4 linked regions of the Lytechinus pictus genome follow. The main gene of each other region encodes a partner of the protein of the gene in region 2 in a complex. Links are inferred from orthologs where the notes say so. Each region holds a gene or a part of one and is shown on either strand. Other genes may lie near its edges. The genes, in order: KAT8 regulatory NSL complex subunit 1-like, UDP-N-acetylglucosamine--peptide N-acetylglucosaminyltransferase 110 kDa subunit-like, KAT8 regulatory NSL complex subunit 3-like and TGF-beta-activated kinase 1 and MAP3K7-binding protein 1-like.

Region 1 (7,758 bases), on a different chromosome or scaffold from region 2:
CTGACCTATCTATAGCCCATTTCCATGATGCTCTTCTGTGACTGTGAATAAGAAAGGAAAGGGGGGGGGGAGAAAGCAACATCAATGAATTTGAAATTATTCAACGCTATAAAACTAAAATCTTTCCAACATTTGTTCTTTTGGACAAGATAAAAACACAGGCAAATGAGGCAGCTATGCCTATTTGAATCTATTGGGAGTTTTGGGACCATAAAAATTTGTTCCAACTAGGGGGAATTTGAATAACAGTTGATAATAATCTGGTTTACCAATGCTGCGAATATTTTACTTAAAGTGTACCTGTAGATGTCCATAAAATTGTTTCCAAATTCAATGGGAGTTCTCATCTTTTCATTCATGTGACCATACTCACAATACGTGTACGCCTACAATATCGCATGCCCTATAATTCCAAGAGCCAAAATTTTACAATCTCCTTAGCTCTTTGAAATATGTACTCACAGAGGCATCTTGTGAAATGAACGGGATGCCTGGGTTTGTGGTAAGCTGTCATCTCCTTCATCACAACTTTCTCCACCTGAGCTGCTATCGGTGACGTCTGAATCTATGGTGCTTTCAACATGACCAAGGCCTGCTCGAAGCCTTCCAGTGACAGATTTTACTTCACGATATGCTTGTTTCCCTTCTCGCAAGTGCTGAGAAATATGTGTACTTGGCTTAGTTCTTTTTCCTGCTGGTAACCATGATGGTCTTATCGAATGTCTTTGCCGGTCTGAAGAAGAGTTTGTATGTAGAGGACAAGTATGGCTATGACTTGAACTACTTCTAGGAAGAACGCCAGGTCTACTACCCGTCTGAAGACGATTCCTCCGGCACTCTTCACAAGTAACGTTGCTACTTCCAGCAGAATTTGCAGCTTCTTTGCAGGATTGTTTTGATTCTACAAAGGAACCTATTTGTTGATATATCCGAGATCCAACGTGACATGTCTGTAATCTCCGTAACTTTTCCATCAAATACTTTGCACGATGTTCTTGTTTCGACTGTTTATGAATCAAAATGATAGCTTCTTTCTTTCCCTCAGACATCTGGTCATTATCATTCACAACCTTGAATACAGATTTTTCAACCTGCTTCACTTCTGCTTTCATAAATCTAGGTTTCCTGTCACCTCCTACTTCTAGCTTATCAACAACATTAACGGACTTGAATTTCTCCTTTTCAACAATGTTGCTTGCTCCACTACATTTTTCTGCAGTAGTGGCAGAAAGATCCACACTACTTTCATCTGAGTCGCTCTCATTGTCTGACTTCGGATCAAGACAGTCATCAACGGCTTGTTCAAGACTTGTATCTGTTGTCAGTGCATTAGAGTGTGACAGACTTAATGAACTATCCATGTCATTCGATAGAGAACTGCTTGACGTATCGCTAGTATCGAGCTCCACATGCTCATCGATATCACCATTATCTCGTATATTGATATTTTCAATGTGAGTAGCGACAGAGTGTTTTGGACCCGTTGGACTGGGACTTCCAGTAGTTGATATTGTTAGAGGCGGCATTTTGGATGTTGGTGGAGTAGAAGGGTGATTATCGTTCAACAGGTCTAGGTCTACCTCTTTCTGTGCCAAGGGTGCGGCAGAGTCGTTCATCGTTTTCAATATGCTTTTCTTTGAATGTTTTTCACCATTCGCGAGTAGATCTAGGTTTAGATCCAGGCCTGAGCCGATGGTGGAAATTAATGAATTTAACTTGTTTTTTATCGGGCCGTTACAGTGGTTTGATTGCAATTCCTGATAATTTTTTCCCTCTGAAATTGTCAGTGTTTCTCCACCCTTGTGATTATTATTCTCAAGAAAGTGGGTGTGAATGGTGAAACAAGTTGGCGATACAGTGGGCTCGTGGTTTCTCAACAGAGTGGTGGGACTCGAACCTGGAGAATAATGCTTGCCTACACCACCGGGTACTGCCGGAGAATGACCATTTGCCAATGAGGGCAAGTCTGGGCTTGTTGGCTGATTTGGATTTGCTTGCAGGCCACCACTGCTTCCCGGGTTAGCAGGCGAAGCTGGCAACTTGAAGGAGCCTGTATGAGCCGCGGCATCAGTCAGTGCCGGAGCCATTGCAGCCATACATAGCCTCAGCGGGAACTGTGACCACATGCGACGGGAAGCGAAGCGCTATGCGGACAGGGTACCGTGGGAACGGCACCACTGTACGGCGTCACACTTGCCATTGATTGGAGAACATGACTAATTAAAGCTTTCGAAGACGACCCGTCCAACGAGATAAAAAATTGTTTTGTATTTTAAATACTAGGATAACAATTAACATATGTTTACAATAGCACAAATGTTGCAATACCAAAACACAAATAATGCTATAGTATAGAGATATGTGTTTGTTCAACCCGCTCTCTTCATAAACATCGGTCCATCCAAAAAAAGCCGCAGGTGAGGCAGGCGATAATGGAAACAATAACAGAGGCCAGGCACAGGCCGAACGATTACCACACGTGACAGACACCAGATCAACGTACGTATAGCTATTTCCCGCGCTTAGGCCGGGAAGGTGGTCTCCATCAATATTTACGAGTATCGTTTTCCGTCTTCAGTGACCGACAAGAGGATCAGTTTTAGACGTCAAATTGAAAACAACGTTGCACTGACGAATGTTTGAACGGAACGTTTCGCAAACTGAGAATCATAACATGGACGGTAATGAGAAGCAACACCACGTGACCCCTGGACAGGTTCCACGCACGTTCGTGAAACAAGCGATCGGACTATGCATGCGGGTTACACCCATTATTTTCCGAATTGATCAACATATTTCCTTGCTCTTGTCAAAATTTAACATCCTAACGTATACTCCTCATGGGTAATCAATGAATCCAACAATCACACACATCACATTATTCATCATTGACTTCCATGGCCAACCTACGACGTCGAAAAAAGTATCGCATAATATGGCGACGTGCTCAGGCATTGATCTCCATTCTCACAACAAAAAAATGCAGGCGACTTCATTAACATCTGCCTCTACGTCAATTGGTCTACCCCCTATAGGCGGAATTGCGTGATTGGCTGTTTAGAGCTATTCGGTTGGTCGGAAAAATACCCTGTAAAAATCTTATAGTAAATAATTATTAATTATTTTTCCTCGCTCTTGCATAGTATTTCACCCCTAAATTGACTCCATCAATTCGTTTTTTTATGTAACAATACATCTTCATGCATGAAAAGGTGCAAATTAATGAAATTTTATCTTAAAAAATATTTCGCATAAAGACGTAAATACGGGGAGGGAAAATGCGAGATTAAAGAGCCATCAAGTTCGCGCTCTATCGATATGAAGTCAAACTTTCGCAAAATAGCACGGAACAAAATCAGTTTTATTACGAAAAGTAAGCATTATTATGTGATATAAAGCATTATATCAATTCAAGGATAGAAAATCTATGCTTAAAATTGATTCGAACGAAGTATAGGGATTTAGTCCTAACTAATAGAAGATACGGTGGAAAGACTTAAGTGCTAAAAAGGGAGGAATCATTTCATGTTTCGATCGCATTATCCGGGATCATAATTTAATATAGTCCCGAAACTTTGAATTTTTATATCAGAATTCGATGTTTCCCCACTCGATCTTGTACTCTTATTTCTGGCAGTATAATTGGGAACAAGGGAATTTTCGAATATAGCATTTTTATGATTTTATTATCTAAGGAATAAATTTATGTTATGCCAATGCGTAGTACCATAATAGCTCTATGATACCACCCTGTATTTTTTTTTTTTTGGTCTTTTTGTTAGTGGGTGTCTTTTTTTTCCGTACAGTTGACATCATTACAACAACGGGAAATTAGCGGAAAACTGCGCGCATGGGGAATGCAAACTCTGTCTCACGAGTCACGACATTGCTCTGCAGCTGAGCCCTGAGGTGCCGAACCGTGGATCTGACTCCACACATTTTTCTGAAATGTGGTCGGTATCATGCATTATATTTTTTGTAGCCCTAGCATATATGTTTTGTATACCCTCATTGACAATGAAGTGATTTCCCCCCTTTTTTATGTTGTTGCTATAGACAAACTTTAATTCTGAACAATCTTTCCCATGCAGGTTCGTCTTTCACCGTGAACACGCAATTAAGCCATAGGGTCCTACTCAGAAAGTTTCTTTTTTAGTAGAGGTCTATATATGTACTAGTAGGCCTAATGTTTTTTTTTTCCAACTGTTTTTTCGCTTTCTTGTTTTGTCTTCGGGAAGTTTAGTCCAATTATGCAGATCGTACATCTTCCCTTCCCCTAGGTGCTGTTTGCACTGATACCAAATACAAAAGTGGTATAGGCCTAAGTGTAAATCTTGATTTGATTTGATTTAGAACAGTAAAACCTACATTTTTTCAAGTTATTCTCTTATATTCTGTACAGTGTAGTTTAGGCCTAAGTTTAGTTTTATCTCTTTACTTGGGAAAAAGAGATAAGTTACACAATGAATGGGTAATCCCGACAAAACATGATTTGAACAGATGAATAAGAATTAAACAAAATGACCGTGCAAATTTCATCGCAATCGGACAAGGTATATGACAAAGTTATTGTTTTAAAGATCATGTGCACTATGCATGTCTTCATGCCAACTGATGACGTCATATTCCGGTTATGTTTATTAAAATTTTGTCATCCAAAATCGGGGGAACTTAAAAAAAGAATTGACAACTGATTTAGTGCACTGTTGCTGTTACTTATTTTACTACTAGGAGACATGGTCATACACACTGGTATGAAAATATGAAATAATGATGATTTCATGTATTAATATCAGTCCCATCAGTTCATTTGCCCACCTTATGAATATTCATGACGATCGATGTGCATATAAATAACCGAACGGATATCTTCGTTATTTTCTATCAGATTTTGATAGATTTTCAGCATTTTTCTAAATTGAAGTTTGTCGAGATAGTATACAGCCTACTAAGTCATGTTCATTAATTGCAATGGGTGTCGATTGCATTGGCGTAAATCCGTGACCAGTGTTGTAGTCAAGGCTCAAACCGGGCCAAGGCCAAGACTTTAATACCCAAGGCCAAGGCTTCAATACCCAAGGCCAAGGCATGGAAACCCAAGGCCAAGGCATTTCAAACTTTCGATAATATGGAACAATGAGCTAACAATTAATGCTTAGGCGGCAGACATGTCACACAGGGAAAATGTATAAAAGGTGTGAACGAGTGAACTGAGCGAGCAAAACTTTGACCCTTGTAAATGTACATGTAAAACAAAAATAATTTCATGATAGATTTAGACATAGGCCCTAATAATAAATGATAATATAGTTATATACCTTTGTATATTTAATACATTATATTTCTATAGGCGATTTACATCAAAATAATTATTATTACCATGGCATCCTGACATGCCCATTCTCAACGTATGTCTTTCTCCACTCCCTGGGACAGGGGCTGCAGAACGTATTTTTGTTGGGGGGTCAAAGCCAAAAGGGGTACTTAATTGTCAAAATGGGCCTTTTGGTGCAAACAGATATTTTCAAAATGAGATTATCAACTGCATGAAGTAGTTGTGTGATTTGTAGAAATTAAGTCGAGTAAAGCCTTTTTAAAGTGATTTCTAATTGATAAGATAGATATTTTGATTTAGGCTTTTACTTTTCCACGAGAAAGAGCAGCGAGCAAGCGGTTTTGAAAAAAAAATCAATTCTGAAGTTGTGCAACTCGATTGTTTTGGTCAATAATGGCACTATTCCGTGTTAAAAGGGCACCCTTGCGAGATGTTGCCAGTGCGAACCACGAGCTCAAACTTTTGGACATTATTTTCGTGTAATAAGACATGAAAATTAAATATTCTGAGCTGTTTTTGTAATCATGAAAAAGATGTGTATCTAACTAAAGAATTAACGCAAGCGCGAAGCGCGAGCTGAAATTTTTAATATACTGAGCAGAAAAGGAAGCTGTTAACATGGTTAAGGACATGTATTCATTTTAGTGACTCCTAAATAGGATAATAACTCTACAATCAAATAATGCGAGTGCATTATTTGTGATACTCCAACCTGAAAACTGGACATTCTAAACATTTTTTTTGTAAACGGGAACAGACTGAGTACCTTACTTTACAATAACTGATGCGAGTGCAGAACGCGAGCCAAAAATTTGTGATATTCCAATCTGAAAACTAGACATTCTAAACATTTTTTGTAACCATGAACAGGATAAGTACCGTACTTATTATTGATGCAAACACAATGCAAAATTTGGTGATTTTCAAACCTAAAATGTATTATGTTTTCATGTAGAAAAGGTATTTCTTTTTGAAAAATGGCACATTTCATTTGGAAAATAAGGCATTTTCGATTTTTGAAAAGGGGCATTTTTTTCCTACAGAGAATTTTCCGGGGGGGGGGGCAAGATAGCACAAAGCGCAAGTTGAAATTTTCAAATGCTGACCTGAAAATGAGTCATTTTTAGGACTCTTGTCAGTTTTCACGGTTTTTATGCTTACAACCACTTTTAACTTTCAATTCTCATTTCTTGTATCTTCTACACTTATTTTACCTCAAAAACCGGAATAAAGAATACAAACAAAATGAAGTTATATTCAAAAGGATATGAAATAAACGGAGCGCACCCCATACCCTTAGTTGGGGGAGCGTAAATCTTAATTATTTCTTTAAAAAAAATAGAGTTCCATATTACTAGTAAACCATATTGACTTAAAAACAAATAACCACCACATTTTACACACTTCTGATCGTCTCCAACAGGCCGTTCCCGATACTCCCCTTCTAGCATACAGACGCCCACCGAATCTCAGGGACCTCATTGTTCGTGCTGAAGTGCCCTGCCTCACTAACCATTCTTCTACCATACAGCATGGCACCTTCAAATGCACCAGCAACAGGTGCATCATATGTGAAATACACCTTCACGAGGGCGATACTTTCACCAGCAACTCTACCAGCCTGTCTCACAAAATCAAGGGCAACATCACATGCACTACCACTAATGTTGTATATCTCATCACTTGCAGATCGAGTTTGTAGGGTACAATACATAGGGGAAACCAAGACCACAATCAAGAAACGATTCTACGGGCACAGATCCACCGTCAACACAGCAAAGCTGGACACTCCAGTTGGCCGCCATTTTAACCTCCCCAACCACTCCATCACTGACATGATGCTACAGGGCATCGAATCTTTAGGTACCCGTCCTGACTCAGTCCGTACTAGCAGGGAGAAGCTCTGGATGAGACGACTTCGCACCACCCAACCTCATGGCCTGAACATCCAAGAGGGGAACGACTGATTTTTCTTTCCTATCCACTATCAATTTATATATACATATAATTTTTCCCCTCAGCTCTTTTGAATAGTTACATTATAGTTTCTTACTCTACTTTCCTCCCATATCTCATACAAGCTCAGCTCCAATTTTTCCTTCCTTATTCAGGCGATATAATAATTATTATATATATATATATATATATTTGTTTTTTTCTCCACTCGCCTCTTTTAGATTTACCACATTTGCTTATTTAAATGTATACTATGGTTTCTTCATAATACACCCCCTCTCTTCTATATTTGCTTTTACCTTTTTAGGCAATTTGCTTCCTCTTTTTCACATATACAGGTTTTTTTTGTTTTTTTTTCCTACTATATAGTCTTAAGTTTTTTTCCCGTCACACCTAGCGGATTACAATATCAGTTACACCATATGTGTATTTATATATTTTTTCATACACATTTCTTTTTTGGATAT
Region 2 (7,341 bases):
GGCGCTGGCGTGTGCGCATGCGCAAGCGCAAGAACTGCTGCTTGCAAGTGAGCTTGTGTGTGACAGAAATGTTTAGTACAAAAAACTATTTTTTACCTCCAGACGTCTTTAAATACTGGCTTATGATGTTTCAACCTCCAGTTATATATTTTTTTCTTAATGTTTTAATATTTTTATTTTACATATTTTCTCATTTGTTTTTCAGATTAATAACATATTTCCTCCAGCCACATCACATGTCTTACTGCTTGGCTAACTGTGAAGTAACTACCAAGTCATGAACCAGTATTCCAGGCGTTAATGACATCCACAGCTACACTTGGGTTCCTTGAAGTGGCATCCAGGAGGGCAAAAAGAACAACTTGAATCAACCTATGGCACACAGATGACCCTTTCTGCTGAAAATCTAACCTTCAGAAGTGCATGAATGAATATATAAAAAGAATGAGAGAAGAAAAAGAAAAAAATCTTGAATTAGTATCTGCGCAAATATGAAGAAAAATGACATACAAGCATTGATTAAACTAGAAGATAAAAGGAAAGAGCCAATTCTCAACACAATGATGAATGCATTAAAATTAAACTGCATCAATAATGCAAGGATCAATTTTCAGAGCCATTTCATGGCTTGTCTTATGGGGAAATGTTTTGGTAGCATTGTTAACAAATTTAACACGTTGACATTGACACAATAGCTCGCACTAGCAGAAAATTACTGCACTACAGTGCATATGAGCAAACTGAATGTAATAATAGAATACAAGGGCATGATTACACACATAACATCTGTACGTTAAGTTTTCTTCAATTCAGTCCAGCCCACTCCCTAAAATGTTTGTAGAACACTAATTGATTGATGCCTGGTATATTCTTTTATCAAATTCTGTTTGCTCATATTGGCAAGCAAGCTGAATGATGTCCATCTGTTGAAATCTGTTGATTGCATAGCAGCAGCAGCTGTTATCTAATATCTACGCAATTCCATCTCATTAGGGCAGTGAGTCTTATGTTGGTTATGTATACAACCCAACTTTTACAGCTAATTCACCATTAAGATGTTCTTTAAAATGTTTGCACAAATGATTCCTCCCTTCAAGGAAGTTAATCCATATATCATTTTAATGGATGTTTACCATCATTTCAAAATTCTTTCATTTCTCACGTCAATCAATATTGAATAAGAATTAAAATTTCATGTTTCATAAAAATACTCAGGCACTAAGGAAATAAAATTTTGCAAAGATGGACCAGCTTGGTTGAGATGACTGTAGCTCTGCTTCCAATTCAAGCTGATCCACGCTGCGCCTTAGCGCCCACACAGCGCTGCAGCCAGCACGCATGCGGCCAGCAAGCAAGCAGCCGGCAAGCAAGCAGGCAGATGCAAGCCAGCATTGCACTAAGCAGTAACACTAGCAGCAGTTGCAGCGCAGAAGCCAAGATGAAGATTTGCACAAACCACACTGGAAACGGCTCCCCCACGATGACACGATGATGGGCTTCATGGCAGCGCTTTGCAGCAGCGGCAACTTACAGCAGCATGACATGAGCCACTGTCAACCTGTCAACTGGCTACCAATGCTTTGTGGGGATCCAAAAGAGAAGGAACCGAGTCTTCAATCTCCAGCCACTTTCACATCCTGTCTTTAGTCTACGGAAACTTAACATCAAAATAATCATCTGACCTGCCATACCCCATGAGATGACATGCAATTGTGAATGGATGAATGAACATGTTTTTCACAAGCGAATCGGTTAAGAAATAGTCTTACTTGTTACATCTACATATTAATGAATAAAAATGCCCTCTTCAAGATTAAGGAATTAATCTACTCTGTGAGAATATTCTTAAGGTGAAAGCAAAATACTACTGCAAGCATTCTGAGAAATTTTGTTTAAAGAGAAAAAAAATTTAATTGAATTCTTGTTATTTTTTTATTTTACAGCATTCTGTGGTTGCATTATAAGGCAAGGTCAAATCTTGTTTGGCAAACAAACCTTACAACAGGCATTGCATACCTGTGTGGATACCTTACCTTCGCTTCGTCCAATCTACCAAGTGCTTTCAGGAGGTTCCCTAGATCACTACGAACACAGTACAGGTCCTGTGAAACAAGTAGAAATTAGAAAAATAGAATAAAAATTATACCACCCATATTACAAAAATATTTCACAATCTTCAACAGTCCACCAAAACGTTGAATTGCTATAAAACATTATTTTTACAGTATAAATTTGATGAGACTATAAAGTGCTCAGACCATATGGCCATGCAATTTGCTCCACATTTGTGAAAGACTGCTATGCATAAAGTCTTTTATATAGCATATTTTTAAATATGACTGTACTTAGTTAAGAGATTTACTCTTAAAACCAAAAATGCTTTTCAAATTTGCTATTCAAAATGCTATTCAAAATCAATGAAAGGACACACTGTACATCCATCACGCGAAACCTGCCAAATATAGTACAATGCAACCAATGGTGGAAGATCATCTGAACAAGATAAATACTTAACAAGGCATGCAAATAGATGAAGACATTTCTTTACCGGGTTATACTGCAGAGCTGTGACATATGCCTGGACGGCTCCTTCCATATCTGCTGCTGCAACTAGAGCTGCAGCAAGGTTAATGTAACCATCAATGAAGTCCGGTTTTAGTCTCACAGCATGTCTGTAGTTTTCAAGAGCTTCTTGAAGTTGACCCTTCTCTTTAAAGACATTCCCCAGATTTGAGTACGCTTCCGCTAACATCGGATTTTGTTTTATTGCTAGAGTACTGAAGTGTGCTGACCTATACAAAAAGACAAAGGGGAAAAAGTAAGAGGATTAATCACTGACCTCCTTCTCATGTTTCAACTTGAAAAACAGCCAAGACTTTGCTCATCTTAACATACTGTGCAGGCATATAATTAATCAGCTTGATCACCTTCCTCTATTCTAAAAAACCATTTACAATATACTTGCCTGTCTAATCTCCTACACTGGAAGTGTATTGAGCTTAGTAGAAGTAAAACTCCAGTGTTTTCTGGCTCTTGTCTCCATAACTGCATACAATGTTTCTCTGCATTTTCATAATCTCCAGCTTGGTATTCTCTGTGAGCAAGCTCAGCAAGACCTGTATCGATTGCAAGTAAAAAAAATGTAGGATCATAAGAGAAATTTTCCTAGCATTTCATTGTCAATATTTTCTTCAACTCTGAAATTGTGAACTTGCTACACAATGTCCTTTGTTGTAGTTGTGCAAGGGTTTTGTTGATCAACTGGATTGGCAAAATGGCCACCTATGGGATGATTGCACAGAATACTGATTTTTGTATGATATCTTCAGTATTTTAATCTTTTAAGAAAAACCTCACATTCGTGAATTTCTTTCTTTCTCTCCCTATGTTACTGAGCGAGTCTTTTGTCTTAAAAATGTATTTGAGAGTTCTGTGTGAGCATGGAGGTAATGCTACGTTATTAGTGGCTGGTTGGTTGTTTGTAGGGGAATTGAGGGGGGGGGGTGTATGTCTGTCTGGTGTAGATGCATGTGAGGATTTTGTAGTGTGTGAGAGTGATTTATATGGATGCATGGGTGTTGGTGCAGGTGTTCATAAGATGGACTCTCTTGCCGTGTCGGCGGGGCGGCCAGCTGTGTGGCCGGTCACCGCGTCCTTAGTCATGGCTTGTGTCCGATCGGGAATCCCTGACCCACTTCTGTCCCAACCCTCTTCTGCCTCTGACCATACGTGCTCCCGGGGTGGGCATCTCCTTCCTTCTCCTTTTCTGCCGGGGCTAGACTCGATAAGCTATGCTTTTTCTAGCCCCGGTCACATCATTTACAATTGTATTTCAGTTTTGTTTATGTTTATCTCTTATATGTACATGGAACAGTTTCTTCTTTCTTTTGTAATTTTGTGATTTTCTGTTATATTATGTATGGTTTTTTATGTGAAATAAATTAAATGAAATTAAAGTTGTCACACAACAATTTGTACATGTATATAGGACGTAGACAAACTGGGACCAATTAAAGTACTAAAGATCTATGTAAATATTCAAGGCACACATAGAGTCTGCTGCCCTTTATAATGCCAAATAAACATCTTCAAATTTTTTTTACCCGTCTTCTCAAAATATATTTCGTCTTTTAATGAATATTACTTTAAAAATGAAATCGATATTCTATAGATACCGGAAATGAAGTTCTAGCCCACTTACATGATTTAGGGCTAGATCTTTTACCTGTAGGGAAAGTAGTGTCGCAATTTTCATTCGTAACATTTTCGTAACATTGACTTCCGGGAAAAAAATGGAACTCCGCTGTTTCGGAGGAGCTTTTTAACATTTTCTGAATTTTTGGCCTCCTCCTACACATGACGAATGATGCCATTGGGCTCGTAAACAACCGCCGCTTAAAGATACATGTAAATGCCAGTTGTGGTAATGATCTCAAAATGACTTTTTAAAGAATCCAATATAATGACCACCAAGTGTCTGTATGAATAAAAAATACATGTGCCAAATGATTCTGGAAGAAATTATGTAATTGCTGAGAAAAGCAAAATAAGCGCAGATTCTGGCACTTCCGTCGGGTCTTTATTCCAGCAATAATAATATACACTGTTCCCCGTGTGTTGGCGATCATCAGTGTGATCGATTTTCAGCTTAGATTTTATGATTTCACAAAGTACTGTACATGTACCAGATCTAGATCCAAGATGATATAGTAATACTTGACCTCAAGTGGTTTTACAGACTTTCTCACGAATTCAGTGTTTAAATGCAACTACTTTCATTTAGCTTTAACTACAGCATATATGGAGAAAGGGTGCGCTTTTTGCACCCTCCTCTATTACTCCTTAATTTCGCTTTTTGACAGGGAAAATGGAAGAAATAGACCCAAATAAAGATTAATTTAAATACAATCAGCTTACCCCTTTCAGAAAAATATGCTGGAAAATAGCGAATTTTGATGACAAACAGATCGGTATTAGCCAGGTTTTTCTTTGATCGCCATCAGCGACAGCTGACGAACGGACGCACCAGCAGATTGGCTGGCACGTTCGTACGCTCAGTTGTACTGTGCCGACAACGATCGAAGAAGAACCTGGCCGATCCTAATCTGTTTGTCATGAAGATTCACTATATTCTGGCATATTTTTTGGAAAGGTGGTAAGCTGAATGTCTTTAATATAAATTTATCTTTATTATGTCTTCTCTTATACCCATCATAAAGCAAAATTTAGGATTAATCGAGGATGCTCACGTCATGACGGCCGCTACCTCGGGCAAAGTTCGTGCAGGCTCCACACCACTTCACTACTGCTACACTACGCTCCACCTACCCGAACTTCCGGACTGTGAACCATTTCGGATATACATGTACCGAGTGACAAAGGTGGGATAAAATGATGGTTTATTGTAACAAGTGGAACGCCTCTGGCAGTCTCGCCTGCATTACGCAATTTAATTTAGCAGCAGTGCTAACTTTGAAAACTACTATAAAATAATCATTCACAAAAACATAATTCATATGACATAATACCACATTCATTGACCATAAATGACATTTGAACGGAGACTTAAGACTGTCAACTACACCAATGTCAACATTTCATTCACTCTATCCATAAACTTTCAAAGTTATGATGGCACTTCAACAATTACCCCAACATGGCCTAAGTTTATTGACCTTAACTGACCTTTGACTTGGTTTTGTGACCTGAAACTCACAGGGGATGTTCAGTGATACTTGATTACTCTTATGTCCAAGTTTTATGAACTAGATCCATAAACATTCAGAGTAAGGATGGTAATTTAACAAATACCCCCAACACGGCCAAAGTTCATTGACCTTAAATGACCATTGACCATGGTCATGTGACCTGAAACTCGCACAGGATATTCAGTGGTACTTGATTAACCTAATGTCCAAGTTTCATGAACTAGATCCATAAATTTTCAAAGTTATGATGGTAATTCAACAAATACCCCCAACTTGGCCAAAGTTCATTGACCCTAAATGACCTTTGACCTTGGTCATGTGACCTGAAACTCAGGCAGGATGTTCACTACTCCTTGATTAACCTTATGTCCAAGTTTCATGGACTAGATCCATAAATTTTCAAAGTTATGATGGTAATTCAACAAATACCCCCAACTTGGCCAAAGTTCATTGACCTTAAATGACCTTTGACCTTGGTCATGTGACCTGAAACTCAGGCAGGATGTTCACTAATACTTGATTAACCTTATGCCCAAGTTTCATGAACTAGGTCCATATACTTCCTAAGTTATGATGTCATTTCAAAAACTTAACCTTCGGTTAAGATTTTGAAAATAATTTTCCCAACATGGTCCAAGTTCATTGACCCTAAATGACCTTTGACCTTGGTCATGTGACCTGAAACTCAGGCAGGATGTTCAGTAATACTTGATTAACCTTATGTACAAGTTTCATGAACTAGGTCCATATACTTTCTAAGTTATGATGTCATTTCAAAAACTAAACCTTAGGTTAAGATTTGATGTTGACGCCGCCGCCGTCGTAAAAGCGGCGCCTATAGTCTCGCTCTGCTATGCAGGCGAGACAAAGATTACAGAAAAAAATATAACGAGAAAGATAAATAGCTTAATATCTTACTCTACACCCGTATTTCACTCCGTGTCCATCCTCCGATTATTCTCAAAATTGGTGATTTTGGGCCAGTATCAAATTCCTCACACGTATTATTTCAAAACATTGTATGCAACGAACGTAGAGGGCAGCAACACACATCAGTGTTGCTATTATATTAGGAAGGTCCATTCCATACACGCATACAATGTTTTGAAATCGGCCGTGAATAATACGAATGAAGAATTTGATACTGGCCCAAAATCACCAATTTTGAGGATAACCGGAAGATGGACATGGAGTGACATACCGTACGGGTGTGCCGGTGTAGAGTAAGATATTTAATTTCAATGTTGTAACCGATTTTTATTCCAATTCCCGATCCGATCCGATTTTCCCCTTTTTTCTACATTTTTCCGAACTCCGATTTTGGACAAGTGGGGAAAAAATCGGATCGGAAAAACTAAAACATAACAAGACAAAAAAAAAAAAAAACGTGGCGACATGTTTGCCTTTAAAATGCGCTGGTGATTTGTTTTGATCTCGGACAAAAGCGGTGGAAGGAAAAGAAGATAAAGGAGAAGAAAATTATGATTTTTTTTTTATCTCCGATATCAGCGGAAACGGAGGTGGAGGAGAAGATGATTTGTTTTGATCTCCGACATAATCGGGGAAGAACAAAAAGATGATGATAATTGGTGATAATTTGTTTTGAATCTTCGACAAAGATGGAGGAAGAAGA
Region 3 (7,219 bases), on a different chromosome or scaffold from region 2:
TCTCGCCTGCATTACGCAATTTAATATAGCAGCAGTGCTAACTTTGAAAACTACTATAAAATAATCATTTACAAAAACATCATTCATATAATGACATAATACCACGTTCATTGACCATAAATGACATTCGAACGGAGACTTAAGACTGTCAACTACACCCATGTCCACATTTCATACACTCTATCCATAAACTTTCAAAGTTATGATGGCACTTCAACAATTACCCCAACATGGCCTAAGTTTATTGACCTTAACTGACCTTTGACTTGGTTTTGTGACCTGAAACTCACAGGGGATGTTCAGTGATGCTTGATTACTCTTATATCCCAAGTTTTATGAACTAGATCCATAAACTTTCAGAGTTAGGATGGTAATTCAACAAATACCCCCAACACGGCCAAAGTTCATTGACCTTTAATGACCTTTGACCATGGTCATGTGACCTGAAACTCGTACAGGATGTTCAGTGATACTTGATTACTCTTATGTCCAAGTTTTATGAACTAGATCCATAAACTTTCAGAGTTAGGATGGTAATTTAACAAATACCCCCAACACGGCCAAAGTTCATTTACCTTAAATGACCATTGACCATGGTCATGTGACCTGAAACTCGCACAGGATATTCAGTGGTACTTGATTAACCTAATGTCCAAGTTTCATAAACTAGATCCATAAATTTTCAAAGTTGTGATGGTAATTCAACAAATACCCCCAACTTGGTCAAAGTTCATTGACCCTAAATGACCTTTGACCTTGGTCATGTGACCTGAAACTCAAGCAGGATGTTCATTGATACTTGATTAACCTTATGTATAAGTTTCATGAACTAGGTCCATATATTTTCTAAGTTATGATGACATTTCAAAAACTTAACCTTAGGTTAAGATTTTGATGTTGATTCCCCCAACATGGTCTAAGTTCATTGACCCTAAATGACCTTTGACCTTGGTCATGTGACATGAAACTCAGGCAGGATGTTCAGTAATACTTGATTAACCTTATGGCCAAGTTTCATGAACTAGGTCCATATACTTTCTAAGTTATGCTGTCATTTCAAAAACTTAACCTCAGGTTAAGATTTGGTGTTGACGCCACCGCCGCCGCCGCTGCCGCCGTCGGAAAAGCGGCGCCTATAGTCTCACTCTGCTATGCAGGTGAGACAAAAAATTGTGGCGACAATTAATTTTAGTGAATGATGTCTGAATCTGATGTGAGAGAGAAAATAGAAACTGCAACAGAATTTACGGAAGTCAGCTCAGATCTCTTGAAATTTGAGAATGATAATTGATATTTTCAAGATGGTGACTTTTTTCGGGGATAGATCCACAGTGGCAAATTGTATAGAACGGATAGCGGTGCGTTCAACGCTAGCGGGCGTGTATATTTTGCTTATTACATGACGTCATCCAGCCACTGCCGAAAGCCAATTTATGAATGAAAATACAGTAAGCATGCGCAGTGCAAGCCTTCCATAGCCCCACACAGTATTCCACCAAAAGGCAAAACAAGTGTGCAATTCTCTATCACCTCGTACCAAAATCGACCTAGAATTTCACATTCCTATAATTATGAAAGGTATTCTCGGAGGATCTATTTTCTCACCGATACCGCACAGGTAAGCGAATTTCGATTACTTCTTGCTTTTCGGTTAAAATCGTACGAATTAGCGTCGATATGGCATCGTGTTCGTTGGAGTTTGTAGAGTCAAGGAGTGCAGGTAACTCCTTGGTAGAGTCTATCGCAACGTGTACAAAGTCAATTGATTCCAGGTTTCGGAGCGTCGCGTGAATATGCATGAAATTGCAGTCTCGATAATTTTCGATCGATACTGGAGCGATCTGATCACGAACCAAGACCATTTCCCGCGTAGACAATGTGACCGGATATCGTTATCGATATCGATACTTTCGCATGCAGTCCGAAGGAATTATTTTGGCGACCACATAGTCATGACGTGATCTGCGCGATTGGCCAATCAGCGGGACTCCGATTCGCTGAGCCGAGACGGTCTATCCGTTGTACACAGTCTATGACTATGGACAATTTGCCACTGTGAAGTGTGAGATCTAATCGAGAGACAAGATGGTCTCTGCTCTGTAGCCGTAGGTCTAAATGGATTATCATGCCTTCATGGACCTCAAACTTTTACATGACGTAAGTTTAGACACTAGACAGACCCTATTTATTTACAGGATAATCTTGCCTGCGCCTGTTCAGTTGCCAATGTCATGAATGTTGGCGTCTTGACGCGCGACTGCCATTTGATGATTTGAAAATTGAATTGAAAAACAGAAATGTTTACCCCCCCCCCAAAAAAAAAAAAAACAAGCAAAGTTTCCTCAAAGTCTCAGCAAACAAAACTGAAAAAAAGTTACATCAATCAACTTCATATTTTTTGTGCAATCCAAAGACAAAAATTAGGTTTCAAAAGTTCAAAGCGTCCGGACACCCGACCCCCCCCCCCCCCTCCATCCACAGGATCCAACATGAACAAGAGTGAATGGGACTGACTCAACAACAAACGTGACACAGTGCAGACGGTGACAAGACAAAACTGCACTGCACTTTGGTTAATAATACAGCCTTACACAAAAATCACCTCTAACTCGAATAAAATCAACTAAATTTCACTCATGTCTGTTTCAAAATCGTTAAAACGTTAATGAATGGGGCAAATCTTACCTAAATTTATGACAAAAACGGACAAGAAACGAAGCACCGGCAAGATGACGTCATTCAAGCGCGCGCTGTATAATTGTAAAATTAACAGTACAGTGTACTACGTACGAGTTTAAATTGATGAAATTGTTCCTTGACGTGACTGAGCCTGGTCGAATGAACTCGACTATCCTAGCCTAGGCTACAGATTCGAATGATCACGAATTGCATGCAGCTGTAGATCCTTTATGGAAGAAGTTAGTTTAGAAGAAGTCATCTTTTTATGTGGACCGCCATTCAGTGTAAGCATATCGGGTTTTCCAAACACGGTCGGACGTCGGGGTAAAGACTCCCGTCGCCGCCGGAGCTGGCACTGGAGTGGAGAGGCGGCTTCGCACAGCCACAGGATCGTGGATGCGCTAACACCATGACCACGGTATAGTCCAGGATAGAAGGGGTCGAACCTTGTTTTTTAAGATATACAATGTTTTTTAATGGTTTCTTGTCAATTCGAGGGTGCTGATTCCGAATCTGAATGATGCCACTCGTGTAACCTTGAGCGTTTTCTGCAAATTGGCAAAATCCAATATGGCCGCCAAAATATTCATATTAGTATTAGTTACCCATGAAGGGCACACATGAGTATTACAGACCCCCATTCACTCACGTGTTATATCATAGCTCATCAAAAAATCATTAAAAATCAATCCCTCGATAGATTTTGCTTTAATTCACTGACATTAGTCACAATTAACAGTACATTAAGACTTGATATGTTAATCAGGTACTTGCCCAGCTCAATCAAAAGTTAAATGGCCTGAAATAAGACTAATATATTTTCGGCCAGTTCATTGCCAGAAAAACCAGAACTGCATTGTGGGTAATAATAATTAAAATGAAATACAAAAATGCAGTCTAGCCTCCCCAAAGCAAACGCCTTAATTATGAAAGAGTATGAACATAGCATTATCTCTATTGTTTTTCTTTTGATAGACAAACATTTGATCTATTTTTAATGAATTATTTTAATCAATAAAGTCATGTGATCTTTACTTACGCCTGTCCGGCATGCTTTGCGCGCAGATGAATTACTCTCGTGTGCCCTATACTGAGGGTCAAATGACAAAAAGTTGAAAATTTTGGTCTCAAAAGAAAGAGTGGGTTCTCCTGAAGAGATTGATACCTTGCATTCAATACCTAATCTGACTAAACGTATTAAAAAAAGAAAACGTCTCATTAGACACCCCTCATTTTAATGTAAAAATGCAGTGTTCCATTCATATATTTTGTGAGCTTCCTATGGTATTACAGCTACAAGTTCTACTTGCTCGATGTCCATCAATGGGCTAAATATGTATTGTGTGGATTTACAACTTCTTGTTTACATGTTTAATTTTGTTCGAGGCGATTTATTACCTTTGTATTCGCATAAAAATAAACAAAGTAAATAAAAGAAAATTGATAACAAACAAAGAATGTAAGCATTTCTTTTGCTCATTTCGCCTCTCTTCCTCATTATAACCGTTAATTTGGAGGAAGAATGGGGGGGGGGTGCTATAGGGATCAACCCCGCCCTGCTTACAAGCCAGGAGGATGGGGGTATGTACCCCGACTCAGTTCCACCCCCAACCCCCCGCCTGTAGCTTTCAACGAAGTGAATAGTATTCAATTGCGCAATCTATGATGTATAACATCTGACTGAGACAAGTTTATGTATTTTAATGTTTTGTTCATCTTTCTTTCTCTGCGCGCTCTAAATATTGAAAATAGGAATCCTGATGATAATTAGAAGTTATTTATCATTTTGAAATTCCTACTTATTTCATTTCACACTCTCAAACCAACCAGATCTCCTATTGGCAGTAGAAACTCGCATTTCTGCATAATAAATGATAAAAAGCATTGAATATACATTTGAAAGCGTCATTTCAGCATCGTAAGCGATAAATGCACTAAATGCCGAGTTACATACTTATCAACTGTTGTTAAACATAACCTATCACTTTGCATAAAACTTCTTGAAGCTTTCTCACCACCGATTTCTAGCAGACGACGCCCAGCCATAGCAACGACTGTGTAGAAGTGTAGTCGCGATATAGGGCACACATGAGTATTACAGACCCCCATTCACTCACGTGTTATATCATAGCTCATCAAAAAATCATTAAAAATCAATCCCTCGATAGATTTTGCTTTAATTCACTGACATTAGTCACAATTAACAGTACATTAAGACTTGATATGTTAATCAGGTACTTGCCCAGCTCAATCAAAAGTTAAATGGCCTGAAATAAGACTAATATAATTTCGGCCAGTTCATTGCCAGAAAAACCAGAACTGCATTGTGGGTAATAATAATTAAAATGAAATACAAAAATGCAGTCTAGCCTCCCCAAACGCCTTAATTATGAAAGAGTATGAACATAGCATTATCTCTATTGTTTTTCTTTTGATAGACAAACATTTGATCTATTTTTAATGAATTATTTTAATCAATAAAGTCATGTGATCTTTACTTACGCCTGTCCGGCATGCTTTGCGCGCAGATGAATTACTCTCGTGTGCCCTATACTGAGGGTCAAATGACAAAAAGTTGAAAATTTTGGTCTCAAAAGAAAGAGTGGGTTCTCCTGAAGAGATTGATACCTTGCATTCAATACCTAATCTGACTAAACGTATTAAAAAAAAGAAAACGTCTCATTAGACACCCCTCATTTTAATGTAAAAATGCAGTGTTCCATTCATATATTTTGTGAGCTTCCTATGGTATTACAGCTACAAGTTCTACTTGCTCGATGTCCATCAATGGGCTAAATATGTATTGTGTGGATTTACAACTTCTTGTTTACATGTTTAATTTTGTTCGAGGCGATTTATTACCTTTGTATTCGCATAAAAATAAACAAAGTAAATAAAAGAAAATTGATAACAAACAAAGAATGTAAGCATTTCTTTTGCTCATTTCGCCTCTCTTCCTCATTATAACCGTTAATTTGGAGGAAGAATGGGGGGGGGGGTGCTATAGGGATCAACCCCGCCCTGCTTACAAGCCAGGAGGATGGGGGTATGTACCCCGACTCAGTTCCACCCCCAACCCCCCGCCTGTAGCTTTCAACGAAGTGAATAGTATTCAATTGCGCAATCTATGATGTATAACATCTGACTGAGACAAGTTTATGTATTTTAATGTTTTGTTCATCTTTCTTTCTCTGCGCGCTCTAAATATTGAAAATAGGAATCCTGATGATAATTAGAAGTTATTTATCATTTTGAAATTCCTACTTATTTCATTTCACACTCTCAAACCAACCAGATCTCCTATTGGCAGTAGAAACTCGCATTTCTGCATAATAAATGATAAAAAGCATTGAATATACATTTGAAAGCGTCATTTCAGCATCGTAAGCGATAAATGCACTAAATGCCGAGTTACATACTTATCAACTGTTGTTAAACATAACCTATCACTTTGCATAAAACTTCTTGAAGCTTTCTCACCACCGATTTCTAGCAGACGACGCCCAGCCATAGCAACGACTGTGTAGAAGTGTAGTCGCGATATAGGGCACACATGAGTATTACAGACCCCCATTCACTCACGTGTTATATCATAGCTCATCAAAAAATCATTAAAAATCAATCCCTCGATAGATTTTGCTTTAATTCACTGACATTAGTCACAATTAACAGTACATTAAGACTTGATATGTTAATCAGGTACTTGCCCAGCTCAATCAAAAGTTAAATGGCCTGAAATAAGACTAATATAATTTCGGCCAGTTCATTGCCAGAAAAACCAGAACTGCATTGTGGGTAATAATAATTAAAATGAAATACAAAAATGCAGTCTAGCCTCCCCAAACGCCTTAATTATGAAAGAGTATGAACATAGCATTATCTCTATTGTTTTTCTTTTGATAGACAAACATTTGATCTATTTTTAATGAATTATTTTAATCAATAAAGTCATGTGATCTTTACTTACGCCTGTCCGGCATGCTTTGCGCGCAGATGAATTACTCTCGTGTGCCCTGAAAATCATAAAATTGTCCACACATTGGCTATAAAGTACATGCAATTGTGCTGCCGGAGTGAAATAATATCTGAAAAAATGATTTTGGACAAAATATTTATTTTCTTCATATTCAAAATGGCCGCCATAGACCCCTGTACAATATGAATGGGGAAAATTATTTTTCACAAAAGTGAGCACTGGAATGCAAGTAATAATGATCTATGAGTGAAGAAATGTCTGAAAATAGGATTGCTAACGATATATAACATTTGTTATGTCATGTATGTGATAAATCCTGTATTTTGATATTCAAAATGGCCTCCAAAAGCCCTAACACTATTATGTACAATGTGAATGGTGACAAAAAAATCACGAGAGTGAGCACTAAAATGCATTTTGTTAAGATAAACGAGCGGAATACTGACTAAAAACATTATTGTTAACGAAATTTATTATTCAACATGCCATTTATGTGATAAATCATGTATTTTGATATTTAAAATGGCCGCCAAAGGCCCTAAAACTATGATGTACGATGTGAGA
Region 4 (7,472 bases), on a different chromosome or scaffold from region 2:
AATGCGCAAATACACGTAATGATATGGAGCATTGTGGAAATGAACATGGTCATTAGACTCAATAAATGATAGACCAAATGGAGACTAGACTAAGTTTGGTGGTGTTAGACAATCTAAGAATCAGACCATCTGCTAATACTAATAGACTGATGGGTTTACAAGATTTGAGGTCATACAATAAATTGAAAGTCATGCATTTCATTGCAAATTTTGAATTAATTGATGGTCTGCTTCGTGCATCAACAAATATAAATTATTTTGCTTTTAATTTAACATCGATCTACTGCTTGTAAAATTGCATCTGAACTTTGCAATTGATTGCACACATTTTCTTGCAACACCCTCTGGATTGGATGCAAATTTATATATATGCACCTGAAATGAAAGAATTTGTCTTCAAATTCATGATCTTCGCTTCTGGCTCCATCTTGTCGGTAGACCTGGTTGTTTGAGTATCCAATCCCTGAGTGACGGCAGACAGGCAAGTCATCGGTCCAGCTCTGTAATGAGCCCTGTGAAACATGACAAGAGATATGAGGGACTGGGTTGAAGTTCATTCTATGGGATGACGACGAGATTAGTCTTAGGAATTGATGGCACAGAGTATATTTCTGGCACTCTCATTTCAGATAATTTCCATTTAAAAGGGAAGTTCACCCTGACAAAATGATTTTTCTAAAATAGCAGAAAAAATCATTAAAATATTGGTGAAGGTTTGAGGAAAATCCAACAAAGAATTAAAAGTTATTATAAGTTTAAATATTTGATATGTGATGTCATATGAGAGCAGCTTTCCTACATATCGTATGGTGAAAAATCAATGAATTGTCATTTTATCAGAAAATGAAAAATTATTCTTATTGTACCTTCAGTATATCAATAGACAAATCATTTCACACCCGCTACTAAAAAGAAAAATAAATAAGTCACCAGAAACCATTAAAAAATATAAATTTCTGTATTTTATATTACATAACATAATGGGGTAGCTGCTCGTTTATGTCACGAATCCAAAACTTAAAATTCTAATAACTTTCTTAATCTTTAATGGATTTTCCTCAAACCTTCACCAATATTTTTTCTCATTTTTCTGCCATTTCTACTACAAACTATTTGTCAGGATGAACTTTCCCTTGAAAGATAAATGCCAGTCATGGTAACAATTTCAATTTGAGTTCTTACAGAATTCAATAAAATGACCACCTATGAAAAGTCTGTTTGCATAAATAAAGATATATGCCAAAGGATTCTGAAAAAACAATGTAATTGTTGAGAATTTTCGTCTAAAGAGGTGCACGATTTATCTTCATATTAAAGACACTACTACAAGTGAGAAACTAGGCACGAAAACTATTTTACGTTTATATCGATGCAAAGCGTTATGCGAAGTGTCCAATCTTTTTATTGTAAAGACTCTTTAGTGCCAAAAGCTTACAAACAGTATTGTAGCCCATTTACATAAGTTTGGGCTCAAAACCCTAAACTTTAGAAAACATGTATTTTGGTGCATGGAGATTACATCATATAGGGAAAATGAGAGGGGATTCCACCCTTTATTACCCAGAAACCTCTGAAATATAGTCTATTCATCTTTCATTTCAGAAAAAAATTGAATAAAAATATGTAAAAATCGTCTATTCCTTCACCAATTCTCTCATTATGTTTTTTGACTTGTCATATTGCGATACGCGAAGGTGAAAAAAGTTTGTTACTTACAGTTACAGTTACACTACAGTACACAACGCTGCTGTGGGCATGGTGGGGCGCTCTTCCCCACTCACACGTATTGCGAGGTTAGTATTAGTATACTAACATCGCACCACGAACCGCGTTTGGCAGTGGATTTCTAACTAGTGGATCGCGCGTGCTGGGATCTCACTTCTTGGGTCCACAACACACGACTTCTAATAGGGTGTCTGGAGAAAAAAAATATTTTTTTTATTTCAAGAAAATATCACATTTTCTTTGTGAATTTGAAGAGAAATGACCTTCAGACTGACAGAAATGTAACATTTTTGAAAAAAATCCAATTATTGGCTGCAAAAAAGAAGAATGAAATTAGGTAAATTTTCAGCATTTCTCTGCCATAGACTGTGTAGTTAAGAAATGGACACACACAAATCCAAATTTTTAGCTTCCGAGAGCTGTTATAAATTTATTATTAATGCCAAAAACTTGTCCATAAAGAGTCCAATAGGATTTTTTATGCTCTATCTGATGGTATGATTTTTATAAAGATTTCGAAACCAGATCACAATGAAAAATTGCGACAAAGTGAAAAAAATTGTGCAAAACAGAAATGTCATTTTCCCATAGAAAACGCATGGAGAAATGGCAATCTCAACACACACAAAAATAAGGGTTTGCAATTTATCTCTAAATCCTTATTTAAAATGATCATATAAACTTGTCCTTACTGTCAAAAGAAGCCCCTGAATTTTCTCTTTCCATACATGCCAAACACAAGTTAATAATCAATTCAGATCACATTTTTCTAGTAGCCTGAACTTCCCCGAAAAAATGTGCCATATTTCCCCCTAAATTAGCCTGTTTTATGCTGACACTTTTCAGTGTGGCTTCAGACACCCTACTTCTAATTTCTATGCCATACTATGGCTTGATTTTTCTGTGCGCTGCGGCGTGTAATGAACCCTTGAGTGGCTCTTCCCAAGCGTTTCATTTCTATGTACTATCCAATCTTCCCCTTGCACCGCTCATTCAATGAACAAGGTTTATGCCTTGCACTTTGATTTAAGTTAATGTCTCACCCCCCCCCCCGCCCCCCCCCCCCTCAAAAAAAAAAACTAAAGACGTTTCAGTTCAGTCCCACATGTATATTTACCTGTGAGTGTTGACTTACAATCGAAGGAGTGGTGCGCCTTGGTGTTCTTGATGTCATATTTTTAGGGCATAATCAAAACGTAAACAAAGTTTGATACACGATCAATGATAGTCATTGATGGTAACGTCACAATTCAGTAAAATATGTCCAGAAAATTCTTTAAATGGCGAAGAATACCAGGTCAGATGACATCGACAGCTTGCTGGAATTTGTTTATGTTAAAGCCCTCTACGTTCGAGTGGCGGCCGCGCTGTAAAAAAGGGGGGAAGTCCCACAGATCTATCTCTGAGGAGCATCGTGAAAGGAATTTTCGGCCCTTAGAAAATTGAATTGAGGATTGAACTGAATCGAACTGAATTGAATTGAATTGAATAACTTTATTGTCCATTAAGGAAATTCTTTTTTCACTGGTTTTAAAACACATGAAGATACAATGTATATACACAGAACAAGAAAAAAGATATGGTGAAAACATGTCAACATGAGGGAGTTATTTTAAATCAGGTATACATGGTTCACGCAAAATTTACAATCCCTTTTACAATACAAAAGTATTTGAATTACATATTCTAAAATAATTTTATATGGTTATAGTTAAGTAGTTGACGGCAAGAGATAGTGATGGGTCGAAAGCTGATGCAAGTAGAGTCAGGGAAGTGCAAGTGTCTGTTTCCAAAAAAGAAACCTCTAATATAAATTTATAGTCAAAATTATCTTTTATGATTGTTAAGCAATTAAAAAGAATAGGGGAAAATCGCATCGTTCTACCCGTATTTAAGAATCACTAAATCAAATTTCATAACACATTCATGTTCTCTATTATCACGCATAAAGATAGATAACATAGGCCTACCCTTCTCATTTCTGCATTATTTTAAAGGGTATGTATGATATTTAGGACTTGCTTTTTAATAGTAAATTTCATTTACTCAAAATTTAGTAGGGTCCATGCTGAAATATGGCAAGTTTATGGAAGAAAACAACCCCAAAGTATTGCAATGTTTGATTACTTGCGACTTAAAAGTGGGGAAGGGATAAACATACAAAAACCACCTGTATTAGTATGCCTTTATCATAGCAAAAAAAAAAAAATTCAATCAAGAAAGAAAAAGAGAAATCCGGGGGGCACTTCCATTGACAAGTGGATACCAGATACGACCAAAGAAACGCGTAAACAGGATCTCATTTGGGCACGTTGCGTAGGCCTACGTAACGAAGTGTCTCAAAAACACTGAAAAATTTATACATATTTTGCTAGGAAAGCTAAACGTGTTTATAGTCAAATTTGTGAGGGTATAAAAAACAAAGAATGTACTTTTTGCTCCAACAATTGTTTAGAGTCCGATTTGAGTGAGGTGTGGGAGGTGGGTGGTACTATAAATCCAATGTAAGTAACTGAAGGTAAAGACGACGTCCGTGATATAACAATCAAATATCGTTAAAAAAATTGTTAAAAAAAGTTTTCGCTACAAAAATGAAGATCATTTGGTTACATTTTCCCACTTATGCACATCTTACAGAATACATGAAGTACCCCCGCTTCCCAAGGCCATATAGGACATTACACTTTTTGTAATTATGAAAAGAATGGGTATCTTTCTAAATGAACTATACGAACACGAAGCGCTTTTAAAAGATGTTTTTAGATAAAGAATGTATAAGGTGTGTATCTGTATAAACACTCAATGCATGTGGGAAGCGCGGACTCATTTTTAATTTTTTTTTTTTTAACAAATACATATTGACCCGAAAGGGAACTTTAAAAAGGGATATTACACTTTCGTGAAAAGTATGGGTATCTTTCTAAATACATTATACGAACACGAAGCGTGAGCTGACTTTATTTTGTGATTTTTCGGAATGTAAAAATCTATCAAAAAATATGTCTTGGTATTAAACAGGCATATACTCTTTAGAATTATTGCCTCATAATTATACGCCATGACTGACCCACACTACTTGTGGGTTTTTTTTCGCTCATCTATATATATATATACTGATTGGCAAATAGCAAATTCTTGATCATTAAGTGAGGTTATATTCCAATTTTACAAGGATGGACAAACTTTGAATATTTGTTATAACTGCACAGGGAAATTTGCTTCCCAGAGAAGAATTCATGCATATCTGTATGATCTCAAATACTATATCTATTCTATGTCCATCTCTCATATTGTGACAAATGTACAGTGACCGAATGAGAGAGAGAGAGAGAAAAAAAAGAGAGAAATAAATGAATATATAGACCCACAGGTAGTCTGAATATAGTAGTGGCGCATAATGATTTTGTGATTTTTTTTTTGGAGGGGGGGGGGGCAGCGCCTCCATGCCCCGGCATCTGTACGCCACTGGTTGATAGTGTTTATATTCATTTCGACTTCAACAAAATTTACATTGTAAAGCAAAATATAGAATAATAATACTTGCTTATGAAGTGCCTACCTCTTTATTTTCAAGGCTCCGTGATTTTCAAGAAATATTTCTACCAGGTACCTATTTACCTCACCTTGGTTGAGTGTAGCATAATTGAAAAAAAAATGAACCCACTGGACAGTTTGTTTATGTGAGTTCCCTGCAATAAATAACTAATTAAATTATAACTTATCTTTGATGAAATTCAAATCGTAATTAACAAGGTTCAACAAAGTAAGAAAAAAAAACAAATGGGGTCAAACTGTTTATGTCTGTACTATGTACACCATGTCATAACTGGCCCGGGTGTATGAAAGTATAAAGACAAACTTTAGTTTAGGAAAGTGCATATAAAGGAAATCAGTTGGATAAGATAGGACGGAAACACTAAAGATTAAATAAGATCAAAGAAAATGTACCAAGCAGGACAAGACAGGAAAAAAAACCACTTCAAAACAAGAGCCCCCCCCAAAAAAAAAAATGAATACTAAAATAAACAAGAAAACTGGGGCCCGTTTCTCAACACATGGACAAGTTAGTCATATCTTTATCCACCAACCACGGAGTTAGTTCCAATCTTACTAAACCTGTTTCTCGAAAGGCTTCCTAACTAGAATACCTTGATATCGATATACTATCGGTAAAAAGAGCAGACGAGACGTAGCCTTAGTCACAACAGAGCATAATTTTCCAAAATAATAATTATGACAAAGTTGCAAATATTATGATGAATTGGGAAATAAATCTTTTCAAAATAATAGCACAGGTGAATTATGCATCATACATACTTAGACCATGAAGACTGGAGCATTCAATTGCAGAGAAAATTAAATTATGAATACTTCATTTCATGACTAAAAAATCACTTGTGGACGTTGAGATGGGTACCCCCGGGATACCCAATTTTAATAGTTTACGAAAGTAAACCATAACGGTTTTCTCTGTAAAATGATGATAATTATACGGACTTTTACGATTCCAAACGTCATCAAAATATAGTTTAACGAAATATTTTTAATCATTGATACCGAAAGATACGATATTGGACAAATTATATGCATAAATTAGAGATAGAATTTATCCAACTGTTTATAGGGGTCTGAAAACAGCAAATACGAGTTCAGTTATGGATGGCCTGACGTGGTAGAATCTTTATCGATTAAATCATTTTACTATTTCAAAATGAATGGTTCTGTGGCGTTTACCAACAGTTTTTATAGTTTCTTTGTATTACAATTATCATTGAATGCATTAACACACTTGTTTTGTGATGTAATTTCAACCTCTATGATTGATTACGTAAGATTATAATTTTAAAATATCTAGGCACTTTCGCATGTCATAGTCTACCCACGTGATGCCATACGTCATTAAGAAAGAAGTTATGACAGGTTCGGAGGTGTCATAAATATTTAGTGAGGTTGTTGTACCCGATCTTGGTAAAGAGGGCTTCGTGAAACGGTTAGCGGACAAGTAGCTCACTATCTCCGATTTAGTCAAGAAGTTAGACTTATGACGGTGTTGAGAAACGGGCCCCTGCACTTGAGGTGACAGAAAGAAAGAAGATATCAGTGGCGGATCTAGCTTTTTGCTATAAGAGGGGGTTTGACAAGTTGGTTTGATCCAATAACGATGAGCTGCGACCAGGGGCGGCGATCCAGGGGGTGGGGGCACATTTTTAGAAGCACTGAAAAAGTGCCCTTTTATGCAAGAAAAATGCCCCCCCCCCCTCACGAACGTGTTCTGTGTCCGTTTCGCCTGAGAAGGACCCGTTTTATGTGTTAGCAAGTGCCATATCTCGTATCAATGCCAAATTCCCCCCCCCCAAAAAAAAAAAAATCCCTTCACGAACGTGTTCTGTGTCCGCCCCTTTCACCTTAGAAGGACTCGTTTTATGTCTGAGCAAGTGCTCCCTTGCTTTCTTGTAAGTGCCCTTTCTCGAATCAGTGCCCCTTTTTACCCAAGAAAAGTGCTCCTCACGAACACATCATGTGCCCCTTTCACCTGAGAAGGACCCGTTTTATGCCGTTAGCAAGAGTTAATGCCCCTTTGCCTTCTTATAGGTGCCCTTTCTCATATCAGTGCCCCCTTTTTACCTATAAGAAAAGTGCCCCACGAAAGTGTTCTGTGCCCCTTTCACCTGAGAATTAGGACTGTACTGTGCCCCTTTCCCTTCTCATAGATATATGTTCTTCATGAGAAAATATTAAGGTTTCAT

What was found.
Region 1: UDP-N-acetylglucosamine--peptide N-acetylglucosaminyltransferase 110 kDa subunit-like (region 2) and KAT8 regulatory NSL complex subunit 1-like share a complex: the UniProt entries of both Homo sapiens proteins name them as parts of the NSL complex. The link is inferred for Lytechinus pictus from reciprocal best matches to the Homo sapiens genes OGT and KANSL1.
Region 3: UDP-N-acetylglucosamine--peptide N-acetylglucosaminyltransferase 110 kDa subunit-like (region 2) and KAT8 regulatory NSL complex subunit 3-like share a complex: the UniProt entries of both Homo sapiens proteins name them as parts of the NSL complex. The link is inferred for Lytechinus pictus from reciprocal best matches to the Homo sapiens genes OGT and KANSL3.
Region 4: the proteins of UDP-N-acetylglucosamine--peptide N-acetylglucosaminyltransferase 110 kDa subunit-like (region 2) and TGF-beta-activated kinase 1 and MAP3K7-binding protein 1-like are in contact, whole or in part, in a crystal structure (PDB 4AY6), measured with the Homo sapiens proteins. The link is inferred for Lytechinus pictus from reciprocal best matches to the Homo sapiens genes OGT and TAB1. Residues at the interface, in NP_858058.1 of Homo sapiens: Asp441, His506, His508, His509, Asn567, His568, Pro569, Gly641, Tyr642, Thr643, Lys644, Ala646, Gln849, Phe878, Pro904, Val905, Ala906, Pro907; in NP_006107.1 of Homo sapiens: Pro389, Val390, Val392, Pro393, Tyr394, Ser396, Ala397, Gln398, Ser399.

The regions. Positions count from the first base shown.
Region 1 is NC_087247.1:49,525,444-49,533,201, reverse strand, and holds the start of KAT8 regulatory NSL complex subunit 1-like, read right to left. Parts: upstream 3,038-7,758; 5' UTR 2,127-3,037; coding exon 463-2,126; intron 42-462; coding exon 1-41. UniProt on the Homo sapiens protein: Non-catalytic component of the NSL histone acetyltransferase complex, a multiprotein complex that mediates histone H4 acetylation at 'Lys-5'- and 'Lys-8' (H4K5ac and H4K8ac) at transcription start sites and promotes transcription initiation.
Region 2 is NC_087249.1:53,721,042-53,728,382, forward strand, and holds the start of UDP-N-acetylglucosamine--peptide N-acetylglucosaminyltransferase 110 kDa subunit-like, read right to left. Parts: upstream 3,117-7,341; 5' UTR 3,052-3,116; coding exon 2,966-3,051; intron 2,793-2,965; coding exon 2,549-2,792; intron 2,103-2,548; coding exon 2,034-2,102; intron 1-2,033. UniProt on the Homo sapiens protein: Catalyzes the transfer of a single N-acetylglucosamine from UDP-GlcNAc to a serine or threonine residue in cytoplasmic and nuclear proteins resulting in their modification with a beta-linked N-acetylglucosamine (O-GlcNAc).
Region 3 is NC_087256.1:18,280,175-18,287,393, reverse strand, and holds the start of KAT8 regulatory NSL complex subunit 3-like, read right to left. Parts: upstream 3,081-7,219; 5' UTR 2,686-3,080; intron 1-2,685. UniProt on the Homo sapiens protein: Non-catalytic component of the NSL histone acetyltransferase complex, a multiprotein complex that mediates histone H4 acetylation at 'Lys-5'- and 'Lys-8' (H4K5ac and H4K8ac) at transcription start sites and promotes transcription initiation.
Region 4 is NC_087254.1:11,941,663-11,949,134, reverse strand, and holds the start of TGF-beta-activated kinase 1 and MAP3K7-binding protein 1-like, read right to left. Parts: upstream 3,084-7,472; 5' UTR 2,900-3,083; coding exon 2,843-2,899; intron 513-2,842; coding exon 376-512; intron 1-375. UniProt on the Homo sapiens protein: Key adapter protein that plays an essential role in JNK and NF-kappa-B activation and proinflammatory cytokines production in response to stimulation with TLRs and cytokines.